Schizosaccharomyces pombe: one gene and its partners. The gene in region 2 interacts genetically with the main gene of each other region. Each region holds a gene or a part of one and is shown on either strand. Other genes may lie near its edges.

Evidence for each region. A genetic interaction does not mean that the proteins touch.
Region 1: mutations in mcb1 (region 2) and cdc23 impair growth when combined (synthetic growth defect), as found in Schizosaccharomyces pombe (one study listed by BioGRID).
Region 3: mutations in mcb1 (region 2) and mcm2 are lethal when combined (synthetic lethality), as found in Schizosaccharomyces pombe (one study listed by BioGRID).

What each region holds. Positions count from the first base shown.
Region 1 is NC_003423.3:4,077,308-4,082,064, forward strand, and holds cdc23 (MCM-associated protein Mcm10), read left to right. Parts: upstream 1-1,749; 5' UTR 1,750-2,131; coding exon 2,132-3,913; 3' UTR 3,914-4,257; downstream 4,258-4,757. Other genes in the region: SPOM_SPBC1347.09 (hexaprenyldihydroxybenzoate methyltransferase), read left to right, coding at 143-997. UniProt on the Schizosaccharomyces pombe protein: Required for DNA synthesis. Required for entry into or completion of S phase. Involved in DNA replication and seems to participate in the activation of the pre-replication complex (pre-RC) and in transcription elongation.
Region 2 is NC_003424.3:904,964-909,299, reverse strand, and holds mcb1 (mini-chromosome maintenance complex-binding protein mcb1), read right to left. Parts: upstream 2,504-4,336; 5' UTR 2,417-2,503; coding exon 2,255-2,416; exon of another isoform or gene 2,211-2,254; coding exon 867-2,210; 3' UTR 501-866; downstream 1-500. Other genes in the region: SUMO E3 ligase Pli1, read right to left, coding at 1-376, 429-461; DNA replication factor C complex subunit Rfc4, read left to right, coding at 2,945-3,012, 3,156-3,267, 3,323-4,171; rce1 (CAAX prenyl protease), read right to left, coding at 4,168-4,336.
Region 3 is NC_003423.3:1,190,708-1,196,133, forward strand, and holds mcm2 (MCM complex subunit Mcm2), read right to left. Parts: upstream 3,436-5,426; 5' UTR 3,402-3,435; coding exon 3,169-3,401; exon of another isoform or gene 2,950-3,168; coding exon 690-2,949; 3' UTR 501-689; downstream 1-500. Other genes in the region: COPII-coated vesicle-associated protein Sfb3, read right to left, coding at 1-105; ubiquitin protein ligase E3 component mlo2, read left to right, coding at 3,647-4,636; SPOM_SPBC4.06 (acid phosphatase), read left to right, coding at 5,307-5,426. UniProt on the Schizosaccharomyces pombe protein: Acts as a component of the mcm2-7 complex (mcm complex) which is the putative replicative helicase essential for 'once per cell cycle' DNA replication initiation and elongation in eukaryotic cells.

The DNA of each region.
Region 1 (4,757 bases), on a different chromosome or scaffold from region 2:
TAATCTTTCATAATCGTGGTACCTTGTGACATAAATTTTCAGTCATAACCATTTAAAGATAGTCCTTGATTATCTTTTTTTTTAATATTCCTATTAGCAAGACTTCACCGTTCATTAACAATATAAAAGGAACTAAAATATCATGTCGGATATAGTTTATGCCAACGTGTCTCATTACAACAAAATAGAAGCATCGAAATATGACAATCCAAGTACCTTGGCGATTTCCAAAGTGATTTCTTCAAAAATTTTACAGTTTGAAGACAATTCCGAAACCAGCCTAAGACATGATCTCCCAAAATATGATCAAGATAGGCTGCTTTTAACTTCGGATGATGATTTGACAAATGTAAATAATTTTTGGAAGAAAAGTGGTATGAGTATATTGGATTTTGCTTGTGGAACTGGTTTAATTAGCCAACACCTGTTCCCTTACTGTAAACAAATTGTTGGCATAGACGTTTCCCAAGACATGGTGGACGTTTATAATGAAAAATTTAGAAAGATGAACATTCCCAAAGAAAGAGCCTGTGCATATGTTTTAAGTTTGGATGATTTGGATGGCAACGGCGATGAACCATTTTCTACTGAATTTGATGCTGTTGTATGCTCCATGGCATATCATCATATCAAGGACCTACAGGAAGTGACTAATAAGCTTTCTAAACTTTTAAAACCTAATGGTCGATTATTTGTCGCAGATTTAATAAAGGGGGGTGATACTTTTCATGGTAATTTGCATCCTGATGAAATAGCTAAGCTTGGCGTAGCTCATCATGGTGGATTTACTCCGCAATCAATTTTGAATTTATTCAAAAATGCATCTTTGTCAAACGCTGAAGTCATTGGTAAAGCTCAGGCAAATGTGTGGGTCGATGAAGCTAAGTATCAACGGTCAACCCAGTCAAAAGACGCTAAAACCTTAGATTTAGCTAACGGAGAGAAGCTGTATGAGGTAAAATTACAGCTGATGGTTATTAGTGGTATCAAAACATGATCCCCTTAATTTTTAATTAGGGATAAACAAATGAATGGTCTGGGTACCCGATTTTAGAAGGTGAAGCAATCAGACCAGGAATTGCTTCATTTAAACAAGTATTGATGTCCATTAAATTGATAGCTTATGATAACTTATAACACTGTGAGTCCCGGTGATTCATTTAAACGAAACTACATACTGAGCATTCAGAAAGGACTAAACTTCATTGAAACGACAATTTCGAATATGATCAACCAAATATTATGTGGGATTACAGGCTTTTTTTATACAATACTGGAAATTTCGTTATATGATTTTTCTTCATAAGTTGGTTTCAAAAGAACTGGCCAACTGTTGTCACAAAGATTTTAATATTAAGCGCAAATTTGAATAGACAACGGAAACTAGGCAATCTCTTCCACCAAATGTAAAAAAAAGTTCGACGTTTAAAATTTAACTGTTCAAAATACCCCTTTTAAATAAGTTACTATATGCATTTGAATACTGTAGACACATCTTTTATGATTCTATATAGACAAATATCGTAAGTTTATATTATGTAAATGAATTCGTGATATCGAACGTGTATACTCATTAAATTAGCGCATCTATTTTAACCTTTTATTATTCAAACTGCAGTTATGTTGTTTACCTATAGCATGTGTAGTATAGAGAGGATTTAATTTTGCACATTATGCTTGTTTATGCACTACATTTTGCATCCTTAAACACATGTCCTTTAGATGTCCGCTAACTGTTTACATTCCTATATGTTTAACCGCGATTTTTAAGTATTGGAAAATAAGAATATCTTGTTAAAAAGATTTATAATTATTACTTGCTTCCTTTTCCAGGACTAAAGAATTTCCTGTTTTTGGCACTAAACTTTTCAACAATATCTTCGCATTTCAAAATACAAATGTGGCAGTATTAAATTTATCCTGTTATTTGTTTTGGCTACTCATACAATAGAGAAGAAAATTTTATTGATCAGAGTTTTTTTAATTTCCTGAAAAGCTAGTTTTCTAGGGTTGGGTTGAAAAGTTTCAGTATTCGTGAGAAATTGACTATATCTAACAGGCGGGGGGTTTTTTTTATCATTGACTTTGGAGGTTTAAGATTAAGAGGAAACCAAGTTTAATTAATGCAAGTATGCATGATCCCTTCATTGCAGAAGAAAATGACTTGGACCTGGAAGAAAAGAGGTTACAGAGGCAGCTAAATGAAATTCAAGAAAAGAAGCGTCTACGAAGTGCTCAAAAGGAGGCTTCTTCGGAGAACGCTGAAGTTATTCAGGTTCCAAGATCTCCTCCTCAGCAAGTTCGTGTCCTTACAGTCAGCTCGCCTAGTAAACTAAAAAGTCCCAAGCGATTGATATTAGGAATCGATAAAGGAAAGACGGGGAAAGATGTTTCATTAGGAAAAGGGCCTCGAGGGCCTCTACCAAAACCATTTCACGAACGACTTGCAGAGGCAAGGAACCAAGAAAGGAAGAGGAGCGATAAATTGAAAACGATGAAAAAAAATAGAAAGCAATCGTTCCAGAGGAAGCGAAACATACTTGAAGATGGAAAAAGTGAAGAGGAGAAATTTCCTATGAAATGTGATGAAATCGATCCTTATTCAAGACAAGCCATTGTTATTCGATACATAAGTGATGAGGTTGCTAAGGAAAATATAGGGGGAAATCAAGTTTATCTCATTCACCAACTACTCAAACTAGTAAGAGCTCCTAAATTTGAAGCGCCAGAAGTTGACAACTATGTAGTTATGGGCATTGTTGCCAGTAATAGTGGAACCAGAGAAACTGTGAATGGGAATAAATATTGTATGCTAACACTGACTGACTTGAAATGGCAACTGGAGTGCTTCCTGTTTGGAAAGGCGTTTGAACGATACTGGAAGATCCAGAGTGGTACTGTCATTGCGCTTCTCAATCCTGAAGTACTAAAGCCAAAGAACCCAGACATTGGACGCTTTTCTCTGAAGCTGGATTCTGAGTACGATGTACTTTTAGAGATTGGTCGCTCCAAACACCTTGGCTATTGTTCCAGCCGAAGAAAAAGCGGTGAACTATGTAAACATTGGCTCGACAAGCGTGCCGGAGATGTATGTGAATATCACGTTGACCTCGCTGTCCAGCGGTCCATGTCTACGCGAACGGAGTTTGCTTCAAGTATGGCGACTATGCACGAGCCTCGCGCACGACGTGAAAAGCGATTTCGTGGACAAGGGTTCCAAGGATACTTTGCTGGGGAAAAGTATTCCGCAATTCCTAACGCAGTAGCTGGTTTGTATGATGCAGAAGACGCCGTTCAGACCGAGAGGGAGCGCAAGGAACGATACAAAAAACAACGAGCGCAGGCTGAACGCGAGCGTGAAATTTTGGTGCGATTATCGAAGCGATGTTGCGCTTCCTCTTCGTCTAGCTCTAACTCGAATAACCTCTCTACGGGAATGTCGATGCGAACACTCGGCCATCAGTATCTAAATTTACAAGGTTCCGGCGTTAAAAATTTACATGACAAGGGTAATCCCACTGCTCTTTCTAAAGATAGCGAAATTGATTCATCGACGAAAAAACCATCCGTTCTGGCCTCTTTTAATGCATCTATAATGAACCCTAAATCCTCTCTACCATCTTTTTCTAACTCTGCTATTCTCGGCACTAACGATGCGGCATCAGGGACACCCGTTCCACAAGATACTACATCCACCAAAGTTTCCCCAGCGGTAGTGTTTACCTCTTCGCCGAGGATTTTTTCCCCCCAAAGTCTACGAAAAATAGGTTTCGATCCAACGCATTCCGCAGATGCATCTACAACGCACTCCACAGCGACTGGACTTTCACGATCCGGCTCCCTAAAAAATATCAAATTCCGATATGAATTTACTGAGAGTGATGATGAGGATGACTTAGAAATAGTTCCCTGAATTTTACGTTGTTTTTCTATACATTATGATGAAAATTAATTATTTAAATTACTAACCAACTTACTAATTAATTAGCTAGCTAATGGATATAGCTATGATTTCAAATGAATGTTCTTTTGTTTACATGCGACACACTTTGCTATCATGAAACTTTCAACCCTTTGTTAAACCTTTCTTCTAAATCCTAATCCTTAGTAAATCCCAATGGAATATTTGAAACGCTTATTAAACACAGTCGCTCTTTTCATTTGTGATGTCAACTGTTTGAATTCAATGTGCGAAGTCTCCCTTTTTTGTTCTGCTAGCTTCTCTCTCATACAAGAACGGCCGTTACAGCTTTTGACATCACATTGTTTATTAATCAAACGAACGTAAGCTTACTTTCATATGGTATGATGGGCTTGTAAGCAATACTAAGATAGCCAGCCAAACTGAGGTACTGTCGACACCTTTAGCTTACGATTGCTTTCGTCTAGGTATCGGACTTTACACTGCTAGTCGCCTATTTTAACGTTGCGCCGTATGGAACGGGTATCGCATTCTTATCAGTAAGGAAAGCTATCTGAATTCGTCACAAAGGAAAAGGCAAATAAATAGTCTAAAACTATATAAATGCGGGCTTCCATCTAAGAGACCTCGCCATCCAACAATTGTTGCGTCCCACCTAAACAGTGTCTAATCAAAGTCAATTGCGAGACATTCTAAAGTAAAAAGTTAATACATTTTAGCTACTACTAAATACTTCTTTTGATATTCTTTTTAGTGAACAATAAAGAATATTGGTTTGATCAACACGGTCATCTTCAGAAAAAAAATTTTTTATTCGTTGGTTTAATTAGTTAAG
Region 2 (4,336 bases):
GTGCATTGAATTGTTCCAAAATGTCATAAAAGGGACTTTTTCGAAATCGTATTCGCGAATGAACAACTGGGGCGAAAGGACGGCTGTATGATCTATTTCCAGAAGCTGAACTAGGTGGAGCAATTGGAGCAGCAGCACTATATATCTGATATGTGTTGTACTTTAAGATACATACGGCACTTGTAACATCGCCATCGATTGCCTTTTTCAATGCTTCCCAAGAGGTTGTGTTGTTTTCTATAGCTATCCTCTCTATTAGTTGTTTAATTCTGGTAATGAGCTCAGCTTTTGTTCCTGAAAGACGAAGTCCAAAAACACGAAGTATATCTTTCAGTTGAGGTATAATAAGACCAGTTTCCAGTCGCTTTAGTACATTCTAAACATTCATTTTGTTAGTTAACTTGTAAATATCTTATTATTGGGCTTACTGGAAGCTCCTGTAAAAAGTTCGCCTGGTTCATTGAGTTTTTAGACTGCTTGCCTAAACCGTCGATTTACACATATGTTATATGCAATGACTGCTTCCGTATAGGTATTTGAAAGACAAAGAAATCAAATTTTAGCTAAAAATACAATGAATTATATTTATTCCTTGAATCTCTGCAAACGCCTGGTTGGCAAAACTTGAATTTAATATTTGAAGATAAGGAAGTATATGGCAGTGCGGTATGTGATAATGTAAGAAAACAAAAAAAAAACGGGCAAGTGAGCTTTACTTGTAGTAATAATTAAATAACAATATAAATGAACTTTTGATGAATTTGATCGAATGAATGAGGAAATTAACTTGGAAATTCCAAAAAGACATGAAAAGTAATTTCTAACATTGGTTAAATGATGTTGATTATAAGAAAATATGCGATCAATCAGTTGACAGTCCAATGATTGATTAGACTACGGGCAGCCTCAAAATCAATTCTTGAAACCAGTTGACGACCGAAACTCTTCGCGTAGAGACGAGAGCAATTGATCTGTAATGAAAGTGTTTTTTCATTGATTTCTTTATTATATTGACGGGAGCTCACATATGTAGATTGAATATAATCCAGCATGTTTTCGGGAATATTAGCACGCATGTTCCACATGTGAAAAAAATTACAAAACTCTTGCAGCTCATCCGAATCAGTTGGAAATTCAATAGTGTCCGGAGAATCGCCTCTACATCTACAACCGACATCAGCTGGCAAAATAGATCTTCCATGGCTTAATATAATTATTCGAACATTACTGTGAACGGTAAAAGAACTGAAAGGATAAAAAAATGTTAAATCCTGTTGAGATATTAGGGAAGACAAAAACTGAACGTTACGGCATCCGACATCGTTTAAGGTTCCACTCGATAGTTCAGTTTCATCAAGAACTATAAGGGTGCCAGGAGCCACTTGCAAATGGCTAGTATCTAATGTCTCTCCATCACTCAAGGGATAAAGCGGCTTCCTGTTAAGCTCGGCGACATTAACTTTTTGAATCACCATTCTTTTTATCAAAGGCCGTAACACAGAAACTAACTGGGACACTAATTCAGAGGTGCAATTTGTTAAATTTAAAGTAAAACCACCTATAACCAAACCAGTGGTTTTATGAACAACGTTGGAAAGAAGAGCAAGCATAAGACTTTCCGCAGCTATATTTTCACCAAGGACTTTTTCAAAATATTTTAATATTTTTGGTCGAATGATCTCAGCTTGCTGAGGAGAAGGGGCTTGAGTAGCTGATTGCGTATAATCCTTAAAACATAACATGTGTAAAATGGGTAAACCATCCGAGTATTCACTTGGTTCTTCATAAATTCCAATAACATCGATTGCTTGACAAACTTGAACTTTAGTTTCCATTCCGCCATAGCATTTAACACAAACGCCGGTATCATTACTTGCTTGTAAGCGGTTTGAGTACTTCAATGACCGTTCTTTCAGACTCTCGCTTCCCCAGTTTCCCAAAGCTTCTATAACAGGAAGAGTTCTTTCTCCAGGAACATTTGTCAGAAACAGTGAATATCTTTCATCTAGGACAATTTTAGATTCATCTAAATGCATTTCATCTTCGCTGAAATCAAGTATGTATCTACAGCCTCTCCAAATGTTTTCATTTACCTCTACAGCTCCAGCAAAAAATTCATGCCCAAAATTGGTGTCTTGCACCATACCTTGAAGACGAAGTAGTTGACCAGTCTTTAACTCAGACCATTTGCAGTCAAGATAGTTTGGAATCTAAATATTCAGTGTCAAATAAGAGAAAAAACCACTTAACAAACCTTTCTTATTCTTTCCTCTGTAGCGAAAATATTAGAAACTTCTTCATCGATGCCTAAAGTGCCTTGTAAATCGGGCTTAGATCCTGCAAACAATGCATCCTGAAATCTTTGAAGAAACGATCTTGGATTTTCGATAAAAGAATCAGATAAAGCAATTACCATATTATAAATATATAATTTTATCCTTTAAACCTATTGAAACCAGTAATGATAAAAGATGTTGATATTGCAATGTGCAATGTTCATTTCACGTGAGCGGATTGACTTTAAGTACCCTTTTCTATGGCGTTGCATATACCTAACGATGTACTAATTGCTGTATAAATTCGCTTAATAAGAAGCTTAATTTATTAAGAAACAGAAGGCGTGAATTTAAAGAGTTATCTATTGCTTATTACTACTCTTAAAAGAGAAAAATATTAGAATTTTACAGATTATTGATCGTTTTTGTAATAATATAAATATATTGATGTGCTTGTTTTCATCATTTGTGTCGATTGTACAAACATATATTTTAAAGCTAGCTTTGATAGTGCATTTAAGAATAAAAAAAATTTTCAGATTTACATATTAATGCTCTTTTCTATTCGCGATGGGTGAAGTGACTACCATGCAGTGGTTAAAATACTCAACAAATTTACTAGTTCACTGGAACTCAGTACTGATGTTACTAGTTCAATAACACTGAATATGAGTAATGCAGTATCATCATCAGTATTTGGAGAGAAAAATAACTCTGTAGCTTATGAGCTGCCATGGTATGTATATATTATGAGCAATTAAAACGTCCTTTATGAAGGTTTTAGTGTTCAGCTATTACGATTGCTTCTTGGTGACTCAGGCATCTTTTCATAATTTAAAGGTTCAATATAATATAGTATGCTGATCTATAAACTTATAGGGTCGAAAAGTATCGTCCAATCGTCCTGGATGACATTGTTGGTAACGAGGAGACGATTGACCGACTTAAAGTTATTGCCAAGGAAGGGAATATGCCTCATCTAGTTATTTCGGTAACCTATTTTTTTTTAATTATTATTTATACTACATGCTGACTTATATTTATAGGGAATGCCTGGTATCGGAAAAACGACGTCTATTCTTTGTTTAGCACATGCATTACTTGGCCCAGCATATAAGGAAGGTGTATTAGAATTAAATGCTTCAGATGAACGAGGTATCGATGTAGTGAGAAATAGAATTAAAGCATTCGCACAGAAAAAAGTCATACTGCCACCTGGAAGGCATAAGATCATTATTTTAGACGAAGCAGATAGTATGACGGCTGGAGCTCAACAAGCTTTGCGTAGAACTATGGAAATCTACAGTAATACAACGCGTTTTGCACTTGCTTGCAATCAATCCAACAAAATTATTGAACCTATTCAATCGCGGTGTGCAATTCTCCGATACTCACGTCTTACGGATCAACAGGTTTTACAGCGTTTATTGAATATATGTAAAGCGGAAAAAGTCAATTATACAGATGATGGTTTGGCTGCCCTTATCATGACAGCAGAAGGTGATATGCGTCAAGCAGTGAACAATCTACAGAGCACTGTTGCTGGATTCGGTCTTGTGAACGGTGAAAACGTTTTCCGGGTCGCCGATCAGCCTTCACCTGTAGCGATACATGCCATGCTAACTGCTTGTCAATCTGGAAACATCGACGTCGCCCTTGAAAAACTTCAGGGAATATGGGATTTGGGGTTCAGTGCTGTGGACATTGTCACTAATATGTTTAGAGTAGTAAAGACAATGGACAGTATTCCGGAATTTTCAAGATTAGAAATGCTTAAGGAAATTGGCCAAACTCATATGATTATTTTAGAGGGTGTGCAAACCTTGTTGCAGTTAAGTGGTTTAGTATGTCGCCTTGCTAAGTCACAGATGAAGCCGGAGTCTTTTATTATTTAGTTTAATGGCACCAGTCTTGGTTCAAAGTCTTGATGATTATTAAAATCAGTAATACCCCAAGTCATATAAAATATCAAAACCCCTAACAATAGTAACGTGTAATAAATCCTAGTCTGATTTCTGTTTCCAATTTTTCCGTACAAAGTTGGCAGCCCCATTGAATTA
Region 3 (5,426 bases), on a different chromosome or scaffold from region 2:
CTGAGTGTCAATTTCAGGGCCCCCATATGAAGCAATATTGCCAGCAACATTTTGCCTATAAGTCTCAGGATTACCGTAATTTCCAAACTGCCCGGGATAGGCCATTTTGTTTTTGTGTCAAGTTTACTTGGTGGATGTACGAATATAAGTAGGTAAGGGTAGGGCAAAATATATACCAAATAAAAAGACTGATTTGAAAGAGTAACACGATATAAATAATTTTAGATAATAAAGTGTGAAATTTGAGATTCTTCAGGAACATCAGATATGAACTGGATGCATTTCCGATTGTCAAAAGTTGACTTCCCTTTAAATTTGGAAATGGACAATTTAGCTCTATATGTAAAAAACCTCAGCTGTTTCAAAAAATGTCATTTCACATGGGCAGTGGCTCTTTAATGAAACAGCTAATAATATTGATACAGCGGAGAAAGTATCTATACACCTAGTATCTATAGCGAATAGTCAATAATGATATTCAAAACAAGTGTTATTAACCTAAATAATTTAGATTGACATTTTGAAAACTAAGAAAGAATGAATGTAAAGATAGGTATAAAAATGTAAAGCAAATTTTGATTGCAAATTATTAAAGGATAGATATATGCAACAGATGCAGTAACAAAAGGAGGGTCAAAGAACGGGGAAATCAAAATCACTGGACTCCATAAACTGATTGTGTCAAAAAATTAAATAAGATATTTAGCAAATGTTCTTGACAAACTTCGTTTAACACTCATTTTTTGGGCATTCACAAAGGAATCAATAATCACTTGAATGGCTTTGTCTATATGTGAAGGGCGCACAAACTCACTGAGCTGCATTTTTGCAAATGCTTCACTTAAACGGATAGCAGACTCCAGATGACGCACAGTAATAGGATAACTTCCAGTAGCCAGTGACTCGCGTCTCATATCGCTATAAAGTCTCGAAATCTTTTCTTCATCCATTTGCTGTAATCGAGGAAAAACTTTTTCACGAGCGAAATGGATATATTTACGAAGAAGATCTTGGGGAATGGGTTTGGCATCAATACCAGTCTCAGTAGGGACTTTCTTCAAGACATCCATATTCGGATCAAATGCAGGATGAGATCGAATATGACTTGATACAACAAAATTAGCTAGCTGTTCATCAATTTCAGGATTAACCGTGTCTTTGACGACCTGAAGGATGTCAAAACGAGATAAAATAGGTTCGGTCAGCTCAACATTTTGATTAAAAGGAATTGTAGTGTTATAACGTCCACCGATGGGATTAGCGGCAGCAATAATAGTGCACCTCGCCTGCAAGGTAGTCACAATACCCGCCTTAGAAATAGAAATACTTTGTTGTTCCATGGCTTCGTGAATAGAAGTACGATCCTGATCATTCATTTTATCGAACTCGTCAATCAAACAAACACCTTTATCTGCTAAAACCAAAGCACCCCCTTCCAAAGTCCATTCATTCGTAATGGGGTCTTTACGGACGGATGCAGTTAGACCAACAGCACTGGCACCCTGACCTGTGGCGAAGACAGCCCTATGTGCCGTTTTTTCAACATACTTAAGAAATTGAGATTTGGCGGTTCCTGGATCTCCCAACAATAAAACATTGATATCACCTCTAATTTTATGCTTACCGTTAATATTTTTGGGGACACCACCGAATAAAGCAGCAGCAATAGCAGTTTTGATAGAGCGATGTCCATAAATAGAAGGCGCCATCGATGCAATAATTCTGTTGTGAATATCAGGCGACTTTGCTAATGCCCGAATTTCCCTTTCCTCATCATCAGTAAGCCGACTTAAAGAGAAATCATCATCAGTATTACCACTGCCGTCAAGTTGCGATATGTGATTTGCTTCTATAATTGTAGCGAAGACAGGAAACCCGTTTTTGGTATTCAGACTAGCATCGAAGTTATTGCGGTATATGCCAGTAACATCAATCTCTTCGCCTGGTTTGGCAACATCAACCAAGTCCGCTAAAAGAATAACTTCACGGTGTCGAGGCAGTCTACCTGAGGGGACGGTGCCAGGTGATTCTTGTAAAGTGATCCTTTGATAGTTATTATATACAGTCCGTTCAGAGTTGATTACAAACGGACCACGGCTGGAACAGTTGTGACAGAAAGAAATTTTTACTTCAACGCTAGAGTCTTGAAAAAATGGACCCAAAGTAGCACCACATTTGGTACATGTAAACCGAATGTATTTTAATTGTGGAAAAAGCCCAGTGCGCCTAGTTACGACACCAGATACCCGTACAAGGCAATTAAGATGGGATTGTCGTAGATCGCGTAAAGTAAAACAAGTAGGAAGATTAGTGATACGAACATGAATATCAGAGTGTATTCTTTCATAGTCTGGATAATGCAAAAGAGTGGCTTCCAAAGCAACACGATCAAATATGCGAAAAATAGGTGCAGGCGCATTGGCCAAGAAATAAGCCAAAATGGGTTTAGATTCACCAAGATGGGCATAATTAACCATCAACGACTCAGCATTAACCTCACCCAATGTGCGAATACGGTTACCGTATACAGAGGTGCCATTTTCATCTGTATATTCAAGAAGGAAATTTTTGAATTCTCGAGCAATTGTACGCCGAACAGGATCAAGAGTAACCCATTCGGCAATACTATCGGCCTTTACGTCGGCAATTGATTCAAGAGGAAGTTCACCAGATTCGTCCAATGCGCCAACATTAGGTGAATATTCGTCGTAAATTCGATGTCGATGACGAGTGAAGCCTGTGCCAAGATTGGAGTCCAAATCATCATCTTCATCTTGTAAAAATGCAGCAGGTTTTGTTCTACCTGCAGCAGCATCGAGCTCAATATCACGTCGTCTCAACCTGGCATCAACAGCTCTTCGGGCCCCGATATCTAATTCTTCAAGATCGTTATCGTCATCTAGTTCTTCAATGTCATAACGATCTAGCTCCAAATTTTGTTGATAATCACTATACAGTTAGAAAAAAGTACCTTATTTGACGCGAAATGTGAAACTACTCTTTTGAAAATCAAGATTTGTTCTGTCAATATAACCGCAACCTAGGAATCCAATAAATATATTTATTTACAAGAAGGAGAAGAAATAGTATGTAATTTATATATTGATGGCAACACTTAGTATACACAACATTGACAAGACACGTCTCAAGCATAGCTATAAAACTTACCGTTCCATTCCTTCTCCGAACAAATCTTCACCTTCTTCATCCTCTACATCTAAAGCTTCTCCGTCCAGATCCTCAATATCCTCCTCCACGAGAGCTTCTGCAGCTTCATCAGAGAATTCTGGAGGAGGTGAAGAAGGAGGTAAAGAAAGAGGTGTAGCACCGAGAGAAGAATTTTCTGATTCAAAAGGTAAACTTTCAGAATCGCGGCGACCCCTTTTCCGAAAAGAATCCATCTTTGGACTCAAATACTTTAAAGATGTTGTTTCTAACTATTTTAATGCATTGAATAGCTAGAGTATTGCAGGATGAAAGAATAAGAAATGCTACAGTATATTGTTAAATTGTATTGGAAAATGTAGTGATACCTGTAAATGAAATAGAGGAGCGTAATGAGTTAGTGTTTTGAATTATTCAAAAGACATTCTTCGCAATTGTTTACGCCGTCTATTTGCCAACGTTTAGTTGCATTTAATAACTTATGGAGGAAACGGCTCATGAATTAACGGTTAAGCAATATGTTGAACAGCAAAGGGAGCTTGAAAGGGAGGCACGAGAAGTTTTGCCTTACAGCTTTGACACGTGCACTTATTCGATGGGCTATTTGAAGCAACCTTTATACGCTTGTTTGACATGTCAAAAAGCTAGCGGAAGCTTAAATGCTGTTTGCTATAGCTGCAGTATTAGCTGCCATGCTGACCATGATCTTGTGGACCTATTCAATAAACGACATTTTCGATGTGATTGTGGCACCACAAGAACCCACTCCATACCTTGTAATTTACGGAAATCCGTTGATGAATGTGGCTCAGAAAATGATTATAATCATAATTTCGAAGGGCGATTTTGCATATGTGATACGGTGTATAATCCAGAGACAGAGGAAGGAACTATGTTTCAATGCATCCTTTGCGAAGATTGGTTTCACGAAAAGTGTCTGCAGAAAACTAATAAAGGAATTGCAATCCCAGATGCTGAGACTTTTGAATGGTTGGTGTGTTCAGAATGTTCAGAAAAATACCGCGATCATCTTTTAAACCAGAAGCATGAAAGCATAGCTGGTACAGAACGAGCGCCTCTATTTCTTTCAGAAAACTTTAGGGAAAATTTGTGCCCTTGTGAATCTTGCATCAGTTTGCGTAATTTGGAGATGCCAATGTTGGTGGCAGAAGAACCTATTTACGAACCTCCTGAGGATTCTGAGGATGGAATCAGTGAGATGAATGAGGATCCCAGTGAATCTGGAGAAATGATTGAGCAAGTCATATCTAGCACAATGAATGATGTCCTTCGTATTTTGGACAGACTTCCTCGTGTACAAGCTAACGAAAGCGTTTATGCGTATAATCGCTTAAAATCTGAGCTAACGGACTTCCTCACTCCATTTGCTCGTGAAAATAGGGTTGTCACCAAGGAAGATATATCAAATTTTTTCTTGGAGCGATCTCGAATCAGTAAAAATTTACGGTAGCGTTAATAACTTTTTTGAATTCCCTTCTTTTTTGGCGTATAATTTAACGTCAAAACATGTAGGTTATACTTAATCTGGTGATGCTTTTTGTGAAACGCTGTTTATACTGGTGAAACCAGAGATATTTTCTATGTGCTTATGGTTAAACGTAATCATTTCTCTATCAAAAATGGTTTAATTGATTTTCTTAACAGAGATGGTTAATTTGAGAGGCTTACTGGGGCTTGTTGGTATACATGATTTTAATGATGATGACAAATTTGTATGTATATTTGAACAATAATTAATATATTGAACTTCTAGCTTTCTTGTCTCTCCTATTTTAACTGCACTCATTAAAATTTTTAAACCTATCTATAGTTTTGGTGGTTGCGTCTTTTATCTTTTATTTTTGATTGAGAAAGCTAAAGAGAAACCCTGTCTGGGTATTTTTTTTTTGTTATATCTCATAATGACTTTCATTTTAATTTTTTCCTAACAGTTTTTTAAGATTGAATTAACTTTATATTTTATTGTTTTCTTTTCATAAACAAAACTAATTTTCAAATAGTGTCGTTTCGTTAATATTCAGTAATTCATATTTTATATGAGCTTTGCGATGATGTTCAAGCATTGAGACCTTAGTTGACAGCAGCTCTTATCCAGCATCATCAACCACTTCCTAGCCGCCATGTCTCAAATGTCTTCAGCTTCTGTTAAATTCCCGGATTCAGTTCCCGGAGTCGATTATCCAAAACAGCTGCAACTGAAATATTTACAAGTCATATTTCGACATGGTGAACGTGCTCCC